Arabidopsis thaliana: one gene and its partner. The protein of the gene in region 1 interacts with the protein of each later gene in a pairwise test. Each region holds a gene or a part of one and is shown in the gene's direction. Other genes may lie near its edges.

The links.
Region 2: the proteins of AT1G57790 (region 1) and SK4 interact in a two-hybrid assay, tested with the Arabidopsis thaliana proteins (2 studies listed by BioGRID).

The regions. Positions count from the first base shown.
Region 1 is NC_003070.9:21,402,673-21,409,970, reverse strand, and holds AT1G57790 (F-box family protein), read left to right. Parts: upstream 1-4,014; 5' UTR 4,015-4,096; intron 4,097-4,327; 5' UTR 4,328-4,334; coding exon 4,335-5,393; 3' UTR 5,394-5,629; downstream 5,630-7,298. Other genes in the region: VIM5 (zinc finger (C3HC4-type RING finger) family protein), read left to right, coding at 1-54, 152-216, 301-403, 479-626, 730-944, 1,030-1,224; AT1G57780 (heavy-metal-associated domain-containing protein), read right to left, coding at 5,743-6,059, 6,143-6,225, 6,347-6,566, 6,685-6,773, 6,886-6,971.
Region 2 is NC_003070.9:6,983,131-6,990,681, forward strand, and holds SK4 (SKP1-like 4), read left to right. Parts: upstream 1-3,181; 5' UTR 3,182-3,299; coding exon 3,300-3,617; intron 3,618-3,775; coding exon 3,776-3,949; 3' UTR 3,950-4,201; downstream 4,202-7,551. Other genes in the region: AT1G20132 (GDSL-like Lipase/Acylhydrolase superfamily protein), read left to right, coding at 1-83, 172-365; AT1G20135 (GDSL-like Lipase/Acylhydrolase family protein), read left to right, coding at 994-1,234, 1,367-1,497, 1,586-1,822, 1,904-2,153, 2,241-2,368; AT1G20150 (Subtilisin-like serine endopeptidase family protein), read right to left, coding at 4,202-4,797, 4,877-5,087, 5,174-5,288, 5,400-5,642, 5,721-5,821, 5,891-6,404, 6,487-6,604, 6,701-6,966 and 1 more. UniProt on the Arabidopsis thaliana protein: Involved in ubiquitination and subsequent proteasomal degradation of target proteins. Together with CUL1, RBX1 and a F-box protein, it forms a SCF E3 ubiquitin ligase complex. The functional specificity of this complex depends on the type of F-box protein.

The DNA.
Region 1 (7,298 bases):
AGGTATGATGGTGTTTACCGGATAGAGAAATGCTGGAGGATAGTTGGAATACAGGTACACACACATATAGCAAACAATGAAACAACAATAAATTTCCCCTCGCCTTCTTTTCTATGAAGTGACACATTCTTCTATGGTGTTCCATATATAGGGCACTCATAAGATGTGCCGTTTCCTGTTTGTTAGATGTGACAATGAGCCAGCTCCATGGACCAGGTTTGATCTACTTCGTGACATCGTGCGCCTTTTATATATGTATATACCATTTGTATTGTTTAATGATGTGATATTATATTGCAGTGATGAGCATGGAGATCGCCCAAGACCTTTGCCTAATGTTCCTGAGCTTAATATGGCCACAGACCTGTTTGAGAGAAAAGAAAGTCCATCATGGGATTTTGATGTAAGTTCCAAAGACATCTAACATTTCTTTATTTGTAGTTGTACGTACCCACTTATTATATGCTTACTCGATCAGGAAGGTGAGGATCGTTGGAGATGGATGAAGCCACCACCTGCTAGTAAAAAGGCAGTTAAAAATGTTTTGGATCCTGAGGAGAGGAAACTTTTGAGGGAAGCCATAAAGTCGGCAAACCCGAATACCATGAGGGCAAGACTTTTGAAAGGTCAGTGTGTCCAAGAAGTTAAAATGTTTATAGTATCAAGAAGTTATGTTTCCAAAATGTTTATTTTAGTATCTCAACTGTCATTGGGATTTTGATGATGCAGAATTTAAGTGCCAGATCTGTCAGAAAGTGATGACTAATCCTGTGACAACGCCTTGTGCTCATAACTTCTGCAAGGCTTGTTTGGAATCGAAGTTTGCTGGGACAGCTCTAGTGAGAGAGAGAGGCAGCGGTGGACGAAAATTACGTTCACAAAAGAGTGTCATGAAGTGCCCTTGTTGCCCAACGGACATTGCCGAGTTTGTCCAGAACCCTCAGGTGAAACATCATCATCATATATGTCTTCTTTTGGATTCTAAGTGAAACTGAGGAATAATCTCTTTGGTGAAATGTGTGTAAACAGGTCAATAGAGAAGTAGCGGAGGTGATAGAGAAGCTGAAGAAACAGGAAGAGGAGGAAAACGCAAAGTCTTTAGATGAAGGTCAATGCTCAGGTACCAGCCATGAAGAAGAAGATGATGAGCAACCAAAGAAACGGATTAAGTTGGACACTGACGCAGAAGTTTCTGCGACTGTTGTGGAATCTGACATGAAGTAAGTAAGTAGGGGCCTTTCCAATGGCTCTTTTGGACAAGTAAACTTGGAGACTATGTTTATGTTTTGGTACCAAAGACTGGAAAAACTCTCTTACCTTATTTAGTACGCAACATTTGTGGAACGTACTTATTCCTATCTGTTATTTTGCTGCAACTGAATATTGAACGTTGCTTGGTTTTCAAGCTTTGTTTTGTTGTTATGTTATTTCAAGCATTTCTCTGTTTCTAGAGATTTGTTTGGATTTATAATTTCAGTTTATTTTATTCTTCTAATAAATTGGTATCGTTGATGAAAAAATGGTTTTCTGGTTTGATTTTTTTTTCTTTTTATTTTCCTTATTTAGGATTTTGATTTTTCTGGTTTATATATTGGTTTAGAACTCGGATGTCGGATGAATACTGATATTTTTTTTGGTTTGATATGTTTTGTTTTGGTTTTATTACTTATGTGGGCTAGTTTGTTTCTAAACATTCTGATAATAACAAATCGGTTTAGTTAAAGATCATCTAAAACCTTTTAAACAGTCTGCTACCCCCCCCCCCCCCCCCCCCCCAAAAAAAAAGAAAGAAGCCTAAAACAGTAATAAGTAAGAAGATTTCAAACTTAAAAGACAAACTAGCATTTAATTCTGTAACATTTTTAAAACCCAATACTATTTTTTTTTCAAAGTGAAAATTCTGTTTGATGCAAATGCCTAAAAAAATTGCAAGTTAAGATAGTGGACGATAGCACCATTGTTAATACCATTGCGCCGCCGAAAAAGCATAGGAGCAGTGTCCTTTAAACCAAAAAAAGAGCATAGGAGCAGTAGTTTGAATCAGCAATTAATCTGATGAAATCCCCCATTATATATCAGTGTTCTTCATTATACACCAACAAACATAGCACTGATTTATAATGAAGAACACTGATAGATAATGAAGAACCTATTTATCTGTAGAGGAGGAAAATGATCATAAATTGTTAGGTCAATAAATGTTAAGTTAGGCTTTTCAAGCAATCTACATAAGTTTTGTTAAAACACTCTCTTAACAAGCCACACTACCATATGAAAAAAATAAATTATTGGCCACATGGAGTCAATAATATCTCTCTTAATATTTTATAACCGAATCGACCTTCTTCTAGAGTTTTTCTTTGTAACGCCTTAAACAAGACTATCCATATTCTTCATAGAATTTTTTGGCCTTATATAAGGAGGAAAGAGTTCTCAGGATCTCCATCAAAATTCTGCAATTTCTGAATTCTGATCATTGAAATTTTACAACCCTAGCTTCAGCCATCCGTTCTGCAGCTGGTCCATGCCATGGCTTATGCTCCATCATGAAACATGTTTTTTGGATGATCCAAATATGTCCAAACCTCGGATGAACAACTTCAAGATTTCATGGGAGAAATAATCAATTTACTTGTGAGGGTTAATGTTTACTGAATCAACTGGTATGAAAGTTTTAACACCCATCTTGGAATTGGTAAGCTATTCTCATCTTTCTATGAAATCACTATATTCTTAGAATCAATATATAGTTATAAATAATGTGATCGACAAAAAAATTACATAAGCATCTTGGCACGAGATTGTTGATTACATAACATTTTGGCTCCTAAAAAAAAAAAACACTGAACGTAGATGAAAGTGGAAGCTAAATAGTAAATACAGCTTTTGCTCTACCTTTAATTCTCTTTTTAATATGATGACCAGAAGATCATCAAATGATTTTAAGACTTTTCTGCTCACTATTTTAAGACTTTTAAGACTTTTCTGCTCACTATTTTTCCTTCCCTTCAGATGATTTCAAATATGCTTTATTGTTGTCTAATAATACGATGAAGTAGGTCAATGAGCATTGAAAAAGAGCTGATTATGAGAAAAGAAAGATACTACATTTCTTCGTTTCTGGTCATGAATTATTCTGCTATGAACTATCAATACAGAGACAATTACAATGTCTTGTTCTCAAAAAGCGTCTAAAGCATAATTTACCTTTGTAAAAACTATTAAGGAGAATCATATATATCAATTCCTTTGATTACTCCTCCAATCACTCTCGTTAATATCTCGTATAGAATAATATCTTTCTCTATAAGTACTCTGTAGAAACGTGTATATAAAAGAGCTCTTGTAATCATTAATAATACAACACAATCTATATTCATAATAAAAACTTTGATATTGGTTACTACAACCTCCAAGTTATTGCTTTTTATATTCTTACTGAAAATACCTTTTCTGTCTGCATACGAACAAAACATATCTCGAGATAGTACCGTTCATGTTTCTTTTACAATGTCAGATACAAAATTACATAATTATTTCCCATACTAACAAAACTATAAATGAAATTAACTCAATTGTCAAATTAAATGTGGTATCCCGAATTATCCCCTACTATATACAAAATTAGATAATGTCCCTACTATTTACGGGACAAGTTTTTCAAAATATAATCTTAGATTATGGAAATTATATATAAATAAAATATGGTAAAATCTTCATTAATTATATTTTTAAAATAATTAGATGTTTTGTATATTATTTTGTGAGAAACAAAATTTGTTAGTCATAAACTAAATACCAAATTTTAAAAATAATAGATAACTGAGAAAAAAAATGAAATCTGATTCCAAAAAAGAAAAGAGTTGAAAGATAGAAATAAATAAGAAAAAATCATCAACTAATATGGAAGACAATTCTATATTTTTTTCTTATTTAATATTTTAACTATTTTCATTTTAAGGGTATTTCATGTATTTAACTACATATTTAACATTTTATTTTATTCTGGTTATTATAATAGTAATCACTCATCACTTATACATCCAGTTGTCTCGTCTCTTCACCTTTCAATCAGAAGAACAGTGAAGTTGAGATCGTAAGTTTTCTTTCCCTCTAATCTCTATCTCTTTTTGCTTCAATTTTGATGTTTTGCATTTCCATCTATCTGATCTGAGTAACAATCTGAATTTCGTATTTGTTGCCCAATTCTGAATTCTTGAATTCAATGATATACACTTAGCCTGATATGAACCAAAATCAATCAAAGTTTTGTCTTTTCATAATCTGATTATTCAATTTTCGATCTTGTTTTATGAACTATTCTCAGATCCATCATGAGCGTGAATACCAATGAAGGGTCCAAGAACCTGTGGAAGGATCTTCCTTTAGAGCTTCTGAGTTCAGTAATGACTTTTCTTGAAATCAAAGATAACGTAAGAGCTTCTGTTGTATGCAAATCGTGGTTCGAAGCCGCAGTTTCAGTTAGGGTCATTGACAAATCTCCTTGGCTCATGTACTTCCCTGAAACCAAGAACACTTACGACTTTTACGATCCATCGAACTGCAAGAAGTATACAATGGAGCTGCCTAAATCGTTAGTTGGCTTTATTGTTCGTTACTCGAAAGATGGATGGTTACTTATGAGCCAAGAAGATTCATCACACTTTGTCTTGTTCAATCCATTTACTATGGATGTTGTAGCCTTGCCTTTTCTTCACTTGTTCACTTATTATCAGTTAGTGGGTTTCTCTTCTGCTCCTACATCTAGTGAGTGTGTGGTGTTTACTATCAAGGATTATGATCCAGGCCATGTCACTATCCGTACTTGGAGTCCGGGTCAAACGATGTGGACTTCAATGCAGGTTGAGTCTCAATTCCTTGATGTTGATCATAACAATGTTGTTTTCTCAAATGGCGTGTTTTACTGTCTTAACCAAAGAAACCACGTTGCGGTTTTTGATCCGTCTTTACGTACATGGAATGTTCTTGATGTACCGCCACCTAGATGTCCCGATGATAAGAGTTGGAATGAAGGAAAGTTCATGGTAGGTTATAAAGGTGACATACTTGTGATTCGTACATATGAAAATAAGGACCCTTTGGTGTTTAAACTCGATCTTACTCGAGGTATTTGGGAGGAGAAGGATACACTCGGTAGTTTAACTATTTTTGTGAGTAGGAAGTCATGTGAATCGAGAACATATGTTAAGGATGGGATGTTAAGGAATAGTGTATACTTCCCTGAGTTGTGTTACAATGAGAAACAAAGTGTGGTGTATTCGTTTGATGAAGGGAGGTACCACCTGCGAGAGCATGATCTTGATTGGGGAAAACAGCTTTCATCTGATAACATTTGGATCGAGCCTCCCAAGAACGCTTTTGAGCTAGTTTAAAAGTATTTTTGCAATGTTTGGTGTTTGAACTTGGCACATCTTAGAGATGATGACTTAGCTCCACTAATATGTTCTTTTGTTGCTATTGTTATTGTTATGTCAATTTTTTGCTCACTGTCTAAGCTCCAAGCTCCTCTTGTTCCTTATTCGATAAAAACAAAATTTCTCTCACACTTCAAGATTTTCATGGGATATAGCTTTATAATAAAAAGATTAAAATGAAATCATACTTTTATTTTGTCCAACTTACATAATACTTTTGGTGAATGAGACATTAAAGTATATCACAAAATGCATAAGGTCCATTAGCATGTTGTATTTTTCATTGTGGACACTTGTTTCGACTATGTTACGAAATAGAACATGCATTAGGATTTTCATCACTAAACATGTAATAATGTTTGGCCATCTCCTTTTCATAATCAGTAATTGGGTTGAGAGATACATTTCTATCCTTGTCGATTTCTTCATAAATATCTGCAAGTCTTTTTTCTTCTTCAGCCTCCCTTAACATCATTTCAGATTCCCACTCCTGTCTTTCCTTTTCAGCTTTTTTAATCTTTTGATGCATCTTCTTATTAAGTTTTCTCGACAGTTCATCCTTATCAAAGTTTCCAATGACCACAACCTTTTTATTTTCTAGATCCACTACATATGTTTCAACACCTAATCATACATAATTCAGACAATTTTATTAAAATAAATCACACATTATATATTATATGAAATTGATAAAACAGATATTATACCTGTGCATTTGGAAATAACTTTTCCAAAATCTTTCTCGTATTTCTCGCAGAGAAATGGTATATCGAACTCCACTTCCATTATACTACAAAACATCATATTAAGAATAGTTAATACAATATGGTTAACAAAAGAAAAAAACACATGTAGTATCTTAAACAAGTAGTTAAAATATTGTTGCTATTTTCTTAGTAAATATTAATTACCTTGTTTCAGGTTTATCAGCATTTTGTGGAACTATTTCATCTTTACTATCTTCATTTTGAACTGTATCATCTACCTTATCTTCACTAGATTTCTCATTCTTCGTCACAATTTCTATCTTTTTACCAGTTTTTTTCTTGAGAGTCTTCACCAATTTATGCAAATTGAAATCACCACTGACCAGGACTTTTTGATCATCTATATCCGTTATGCATGATTTAACTCCTAATAACAACATTGTACAACTTAGAAAAACGTAGATACTATGTAGTTACATTATACAAAATCTGTATTGTGAATAAATATATGTATTGTAAATAAAATTTTCTGATTTTCTTACCTTCGAATTGGCAAGCAACTTTTCTGATCTTTTTCGCGCAATCTTCAAAATTCATCGAAATCTTCAACTTGGCATCTGTTACAATTACACTAGAGAAAATTTGAAGAGAAAAAAAAAAAAGTATCAGTGTAAGAGAAATATATAAAACACACAAAAGTTTTATGTAAAATACATAGATATGTAGAGATTTAAGTAATCTACTTGTCGAGAATGTTTTCTCTTGATTTCGTTAACCAACAACCCATCATAGTTGTGATTCCTTGTGGCTGCTTTAACCAACAACCCATCATAGTTAAATTCCGAAGACAAAAATTAAGTGTTTAAGAATCTTTTCGCTTAAAATCTCTTTTGATCTCTAACACTTAAAACTATATTTACACACATGTGCATATATAGAAGAGAGTTTTCATACATTGAACATGACTAATCAAATTATATAAATTAGCATATAGCCTATTTTATATAAACATTTACACAAAAAATTAATTAATACATATCTTATTATACTTTTTCAAAATCATAATTCTTATCTTTATATTTAATGTATCCAAATTTTGTAATTAGTATTTAAGAAATATTTTTTTCTCAATTAGTATTTTCCTCCATTTCATTTT
Region 2 (7,551 bases), about 14 Mb from region 1:
AAAAAACCTACCAAATTCCAATCTCATTTACATTGACATATACTCTGCTTTCAGTCACATCTTAGAAAATTCAGCAGATTATGGTAATATTAGAACGTGAATATTTAATTCTTATAAGTACTAAACTATACAAGCTCATGTATATATAACTTGAGTTGAGAATTAATGCAGGGTTTGAAGAAATAAAGAGAGGTTGTTGTGGAACTGGATTTGTGGAAGCTGGTCCACTTTGCAATCGATTCACAACATTTGTGTGCTCCAATGTATCTGCTTACATGTTTTGGGATAGTCTCCATCCTACCCAAAGATTCTATAAAATCTTAACCAAAATACTTTTTGAGAAATACATCCACAATTTAAATTGAGTAGTGTGATCAAATGACTCACATTGTATGCTTTTATTTTTCTTAAAGCTTGTGCAGTTGTTATAAATTGTACAAAATTATTGTAAGTCACTATATTGATTACCAATTGATTTTAAGAGAAACTTTTATCACTCTTCACATGCTTTCAAAGATCAAATCCATATCAATCAGTTCATTTGATCGACAGCTATTCTGTTTATGTAATGATTATCTTTTTCTTTTTAGGTCATGATGATGTAATAATATTATAGCTCTCTGAAGTAAAGTAATCAACTAGATAACATGAAATATAACCAAATTATATGATTTAATCTGCACATTGTTGTGGGGGTAAATCAGTCAAATAATTGAATAAGACTGAGTGGTAAGACTTGATTTGCTGGATTGGCTAAATATATATTATCAGTCCAGTGATACAGGGAAGAGTGTTGTTCTTTAACCACAAAAACAAACAAGTTTCATACCATTATTCAAGGGACTCGATGAACTCTCTCAACCCTTCTTCACCTTTGTATAAAGTATGACGATAAAGTAAACAAATTCTTTAAAAAAAAAGAAAAACTAAATTGAAACTAAAATTCGAAACAAAAAAAAATACTAACAAAATAAAACCTAAAATTTATTTGAGATGGAAAATGCAAACATCAAAGTTCTAGTAGTATTATTGTCTATATGGATTTCATGTGTTCAAGCTCAAACTGGAACATTTTCAGCAGTTCTTGCATTTGGAGATTCGATTCTCGATACTGGTAACAACAATTTGCTCATGACAGTATCAAGAGGCAATTTTTTGCCATATGGACGCGATTTTCCTCATCGTATTCCTACAGGAAGATTCGGGAATGGAAGAGTTCTATCAGATTTAGTTGGTACTAATTGTTCTCTATACAACATATATATATAAGACCAATTTTCTCTTTCACATTCTTTAACCTAATGAGTAATCAAATAGTTCGAGAATCATTCTATAATGAAAATGTACATGGTATATATGTATGTAGCCAGCGGTTTAGGGGTAAAAGATCTTTTACCTGCTTTCCGGAGCCCATTTCTTAAAAATAGTGAACTCGCTACCGGCGTTTGTTTTGCATCCGGTGGTTCAGGGTTAGACAAATTCACTGCATCTATACAGGTAAATCTACTTGTTATGTACTTCTTACTTTCAATAAGATAAAGTAATATATGTTCTTACTCATTTACTATATGTGCAAACTATATAGGGGGTTATATGGGTACAAGATCAGGTGAGTGACTTTCAAAGATACTTAGAAAAGTTAAACCAACAAGTTGGAGATGCAGCTAAAGTCAAAGAGATTATAGCCAATGCTGTGATTCTAGTGTCTGCTGGTAATAACGATCTTGCCATCACATATTTTTCAACTCCGAAGAGACAAACGAGATACACTGTCCAAGCATACACTGATATGCTCATCGGTTGGAAAACTACCTTCATAAATGTATACAACACACATTTATTTATAACTTTTTTTCTTCATAATATTGTTCTACCTATAATGATTATTTTGTATGAATAACAGAGTCTATATGATCTAGGAGCTAGAAAATTTGCAATTCTTGGAACGTTACCGTTAGGGTGTTTGCCAGGGGCGAGACAAATTACCGGAAATTTGATATGTCTTCCGAATGTAAACTATGGTGCTAGAGTTTATAATGACAAAGTAGCTAACTTGGTCAATCAGTACAACCAAAGGCTTCCCAATGGCAAATTCGTCTACATCGATATGTATAACTCACTTCTTGAGGTCATCAATAATCCTAGCCAATACGGTAAAACATTGAGTAACACACGCAAATTTTGAATATATATGGTAGAAAAAACAAGGGTGCTAATTTCTACATTGTAATACATTTCAGGGTTTACGACGGCAAAACCATGTTGTTGCTCGGTGATGACTCCGATTCCGTGTTTAAGATCTGGTAGTCACGTGTTCTGGGACTTTGCCCATCCTTCTGAAAAAGCCTATAAAACTGTTCTACCTTAGATCCTCAGTACCATCCAAAGCAACCTCGCCTAGTCACTAATTTTCTCTTTCTTTTTTATATTTAGACATGAGAACCATGAACCTTGGTTTGAATATGATTAGTTCCTCGATCGACGATGAGCCGCTTGTAGGTCTCTATTGTTAAGCTTGATTTATGTGTTCTCATCAATTAATCAGAATCAGTGATAATTTCATTTGCAATAATTTTGGTGCTTCTTAGTTTACCAAACCAGAAAAGTTATGTGTTTGGAAAAGAAGAAAAAAATACTAGAAGAAGATAAAAGATTTCCATCCAACACAAATACAAAGATCAACAAATGAGAGAAATACAACACAAATAAATATGTTATTAATTTTGGTTTGTTTAGTGTAACGCAATATTTTTCCCAAAAATTGTGGTGTTTGTTACCTACTTTTTACATTTTCCTTGATATTCACTACAAAATACCCAAATAATAATTCATAATTTCACATAGATTTTTACATACAAACGTGGAGGTTTTCTTTGATTAAAACATAAAAACCCTAGTCAATGATTTTTGCACACGTAGATAAACTGTATTTTCTGAAATCAGATGTAAATCTGAAAAAGTAAATATTATTAACGGAATACAGCTAAGGTGAAGTTTGTGGAAAAGTAAAAATATTTACTTTATTTAAAACAACATAAATTTTCCATTTTTTAAAAACTTAAATTTCCAATATTTGTTTTACTTTTTACTGTTCTCCTATTAGTAAAAGGAGTAGATTAACTTAAAAGCAATAAGCCGGCAAAAAAAAAAAAACTTAAAAGCAATAAACCGACTTGAATACCAATTAAGAAATTGGCTATAAATAAGGCTCCAACTTCCCAAACCTTGACACCATCACAACAATCAATCGCAGCGCCGATTCTCCTTCAAAAACTTTTCCTAAGTCGTCACTTTTTACGATGGCAGAAACGAAGAAGATGATCATCCTTAAGAGCTCCGACGGTGAATCCTTCGAGATCGAGGAAGCCGTCGCTGTTAAGTCCCAGACGATTAAGCACATGATTGAGGACGACTGTGCCGATAACGGAATTCCACTTCCCAATGTCACCGGAGCCATCCTCGCCAAGGTTATTGAGTATTGCAAGAAGCACGTTGAAGCCGCTGCTGAAGCTGGTGGAGACAAGGATTTCTATGGTTCCGCTGAGAACGACGAGCTTAAGAATTGGGACAGCGAATTCGTCAAAGTCGATCAGCCTACTCTCTTCGATCTCATCTTGGTTAGTAAAGTCGCTTTCATTGTTTAGGTTTGATGTTGTTAGAATTAGGGTTTTTAATTTGGGGATTTAGGTTTGATTTTGCAGGATTCTGTTAGGGTTTTAGTGTGTTGAATGTCGTTTTGATTTGACTAATCGTTTTGGTTCTTTGGTTTGTACAGGCTGCGAACTATTTGAACATCGGTGGACTTCTTGACCTTACGTGCAAGGCCGTGGCTGATCAGATGAGAGGCAAAACTCCAGAGCAGATGCGTGCACACTTCAACATCAAGAACGATTACACACCTGAGGAAGAGGCGGAGGTTCGCAATGAGAACAAGTGGGCGTTCGAGTGATTGGATCGGATCTGAAGGGTGTTTAGGAATCTCTAGTCTTTCTATTTAGATGTGTTTAGCTTTCAAGATTTCGGATTGTTTTTTTTTTCTTTCTTTTTCTCTTCGATTGGAGTTGTCCTTGTCGATGAAAACCTAATGCTTTGTTCTACTAACAACATCTATTGGTTTTTATGAGAAATATTTGAGAGAAAGTGTTGGTCTTGCTTAATCTTTTTGCTCTTTATACATGAATGTGTTCTCTTTAGATTATCGTTAACGTTCGCTATCGTTGTCGTCTTTGCTGGTTACAACGAATGGACTTCTCACATTGTACATTCCGTTAGACCATGTTATAGATCCAAACGCATCGTCCTTGAGTATTGTTGTAGTAGATGAAAAGATCACTTGGTAGCTGAGTTTATCTCCTATCTTCCTGAAGTGTAGCCTTCTTGGTATAACTCTGACTAGTAATCCTTCTGGTGCATCGATACTCACAGTGTAGACTGTATCTTCATCTCCAATGAGGCGTGATGCTACATTTGTCACTGTTCTGCTTACCCTTCTGCTTTCTTTTCCATTGAAGTTAGAAATCGAGATTGATGGGTAGTTGATGTTAGATATGTCTCCCCTGTTGCTTTGTTCAGGACAAGCAAAACCTTGTGGTATGCGGTTTGATATCTTTTTGATCTGATCAGATGTAAATCCATAGTAGCCGAGGAAGTTTAGGTAGTCCATGTGATTGGTTTCATAAATCAGTCCTGGTGATGAAGGTCCAAATATAGTAACCTGCCCAGCACCAAAGTCATAAGGTGTGGCCTTTTCTCCTGTTTCTGTAGTTATATGGGAACCTGTGTTGGTCATTTGCACGGCTGCAGATACAGTTGACTTGGGTTAACTCTAGCTGATCAATCATCCGTAACTGGTATCTACTTGATTTTGATTTCTCACCTGTTGTCATGATGGCAGATCTGATTGCTGCAGGACTCCATGAAGGGTATCTGGATTTGAGACGAGCAGCAATCCCGGAGACATGGGGACATGACATTGAAGTCCCTGATTCAATGTTGAAGAGTGGCGGTGGCTTGCCTTCTGGTGCTGCATTTCTGTCACCGACTAACCACGATGCTAGTATGTTGACCCCTGGTGCTGCAATATCAGGCTGTAACAGGTTTATCAATATTTTGTTTTTGAAGTTTCTGTGAATACTGTTGAGATCATGTTTATGATGAATATTAGGGCTTATACCTTGAGGATGCTTCTGGTAAGCAAGTAAGGACCTCTTGATGAGAAGGATGGTATGGATGGAGCTAACATGTGTCCTGTTCGTGATCTTGTAGGCATGATTGTTGCAATTGGTTCTCTACAATATGGATTATGATATATTAGTTCTGTTTTTTTTTTTTTTTTGGGTAAAAATATTATTATTAGTTCTGTTTGAAAGCAATGTCTTGTGAAATGAGACATCTTAAACCTTGTTGAATTTATGTAGGACATGATTTGTATGCCGTCCTCTGGTTTTATTATTGTCACTAGAAAGGAGGGATCAATAAAAGACAGATCCATTGACTCGTCATCAACAAGTACCATACCGATACCTCCAAGTCTCTTAACCTCGTCGCTTTTCCACTGGATCACCTGGTTATCAAGATCACTGTCACACACAACAATCTTTCCCTTAACAATGGTTTGGTCTAGTGTATCAGGTGCGCAGTTCCTGAAGGTTTGCAGTTGTGTTGTCTTGTTAGTATAGGTATAGCAAAGTTACTCTATAATTTTACGAGGCAACTATTACCTAGCAGCTTCCTCATTAGCATCAATCTTCTTGGCTGATCGTGCGTGTATAAGTGGGTAAGCCTGTGTTTTATCGATATTGGCAATATTTATTCCAAAACCCTGCAAAAGAAATTCTTTAAGATGTTATGTGAATGGAGATTTGTCCGTTGATTGGCTTTTCCTTCTTACCTCGATTAATCTGTTTTCATCTCCTCCCAGAAGAATGTTGGACTCAAAGCCACGGTCAATAGTGCTGGCAGCAACAGTGATCATCCATGGAGCAGCATTAAACACACTTTGACTCGATGGGCCAGAATTTCCTACAGAGCAAACAACAGTGATCCCTCTTTCCACGGCATGAAATGACCCGATGGAAAGCGGATCTTCAAGTAAATTGTCTGGCCATAAGCCCATTGATATGGATATAACATCAACCCCATCTGCGATTGCATCATCAAATGCAGCTAGTATGCTCGAGCCACGACATCCCAGGAGTGAGCACGCTCTGTACATAGCTATTCTTGAACTTGGTGAACCTCCTCTCATGATTCCACTTGCCAGGCCATAGTAGGACGCATTTGCTATTATTTGCCCTGCTGCTATTGATGCCACATGTGTCCCGTGCCCCAAAAAGTCTCGTGGTGTCTCATAATCGGGGTCTAAGAAGAATGACGAATTGTAATACCTTGCTCCTATCAGTTTCCTGTTTATCCAAGTTTGAGGTGGTAAATTCAAACATATATCGGATCTCTACATGTGTTCTACTTTCCTCAGTCTCAGCTTACCTATTGCAACGGAAAGAATCAGGTTGTGTCTTCTTCCCTCTCATGCAAGTGCCCTTCCATTTCTCTGGGACTGGACCCATGTGCCTGTCGTTAAAGCTCTGCGCCTCGGGCCATATTCCTGTTTTCTCCATCAGGATATGCTGCATTGAGTATTTGTTTTACTGGAAGTAGATAAAAAGCGCATATAAATATTTCATCACTTCATACTGCTCACCTGAATCAAGGAAGCCGATAATGGTGTCTCCTTCATGCATTTCGGATTCTTGTTCATAGTTCATTTCGGTGAAGTAAGTATCTCTTTGATAACTTTCTTGCACCAAGAAATCCCATGAACGTGTGGTGTGGAGCTGTAACATCTGGTCAGGGAAGACAGATAGTACTCCCGGTTGCTTGGCTATGAGATGAGCTTCATCTTCTGATAAATGGGCTGCGAATCCAGAGAATCCATGTTTGTATCTGTGCATGGGGGTTTTGCCGCTCCTGATGCAAGTAAGATACTGTCTTAATATTTTCATAACATGAATCAATGGTTAGAAAATCTAAAGAGTTCTGGAGTTAGATATCACCGTTGTAACAATGAGCTCAGAAGTTCAACATGGTCATTGTCTGTTGAGCCATCAGAGGATGCTGCTCCCATGTATATGATATAATCTCCAGATTTACTTGTTTCAGACTTACACTTTTGGATCACAGACAGAAAAAAAAACATAAAGAACATGATGGTGATAGTGAGGCATCTCATCATCGCTGAACTTCTTGAAACAAAACAAGATTACTTCCCGTTTGCCTCTAACTTTTGCCTTATAAAAGTTCTATGAGTATATCGTAATAGTCTCTATCACTAACATACATAAGAATTGTTAGGGTTAGCTTTTAAGCCCTGCTATTATAATGGAGGAGTGAAGATAGTTCGTTTGACACAGTCATGCATGCCCTTTGTGTGAAAGCAAGATTGCCTGACTTCAAGGAGACTTTTTCTGCATGGTTATTAACAAGGTTGGTAACTGTAACTTTGTACTCCAGATTGGTAGAGTTAAATTTGATCAAAAAAATTGGTGATGTTCT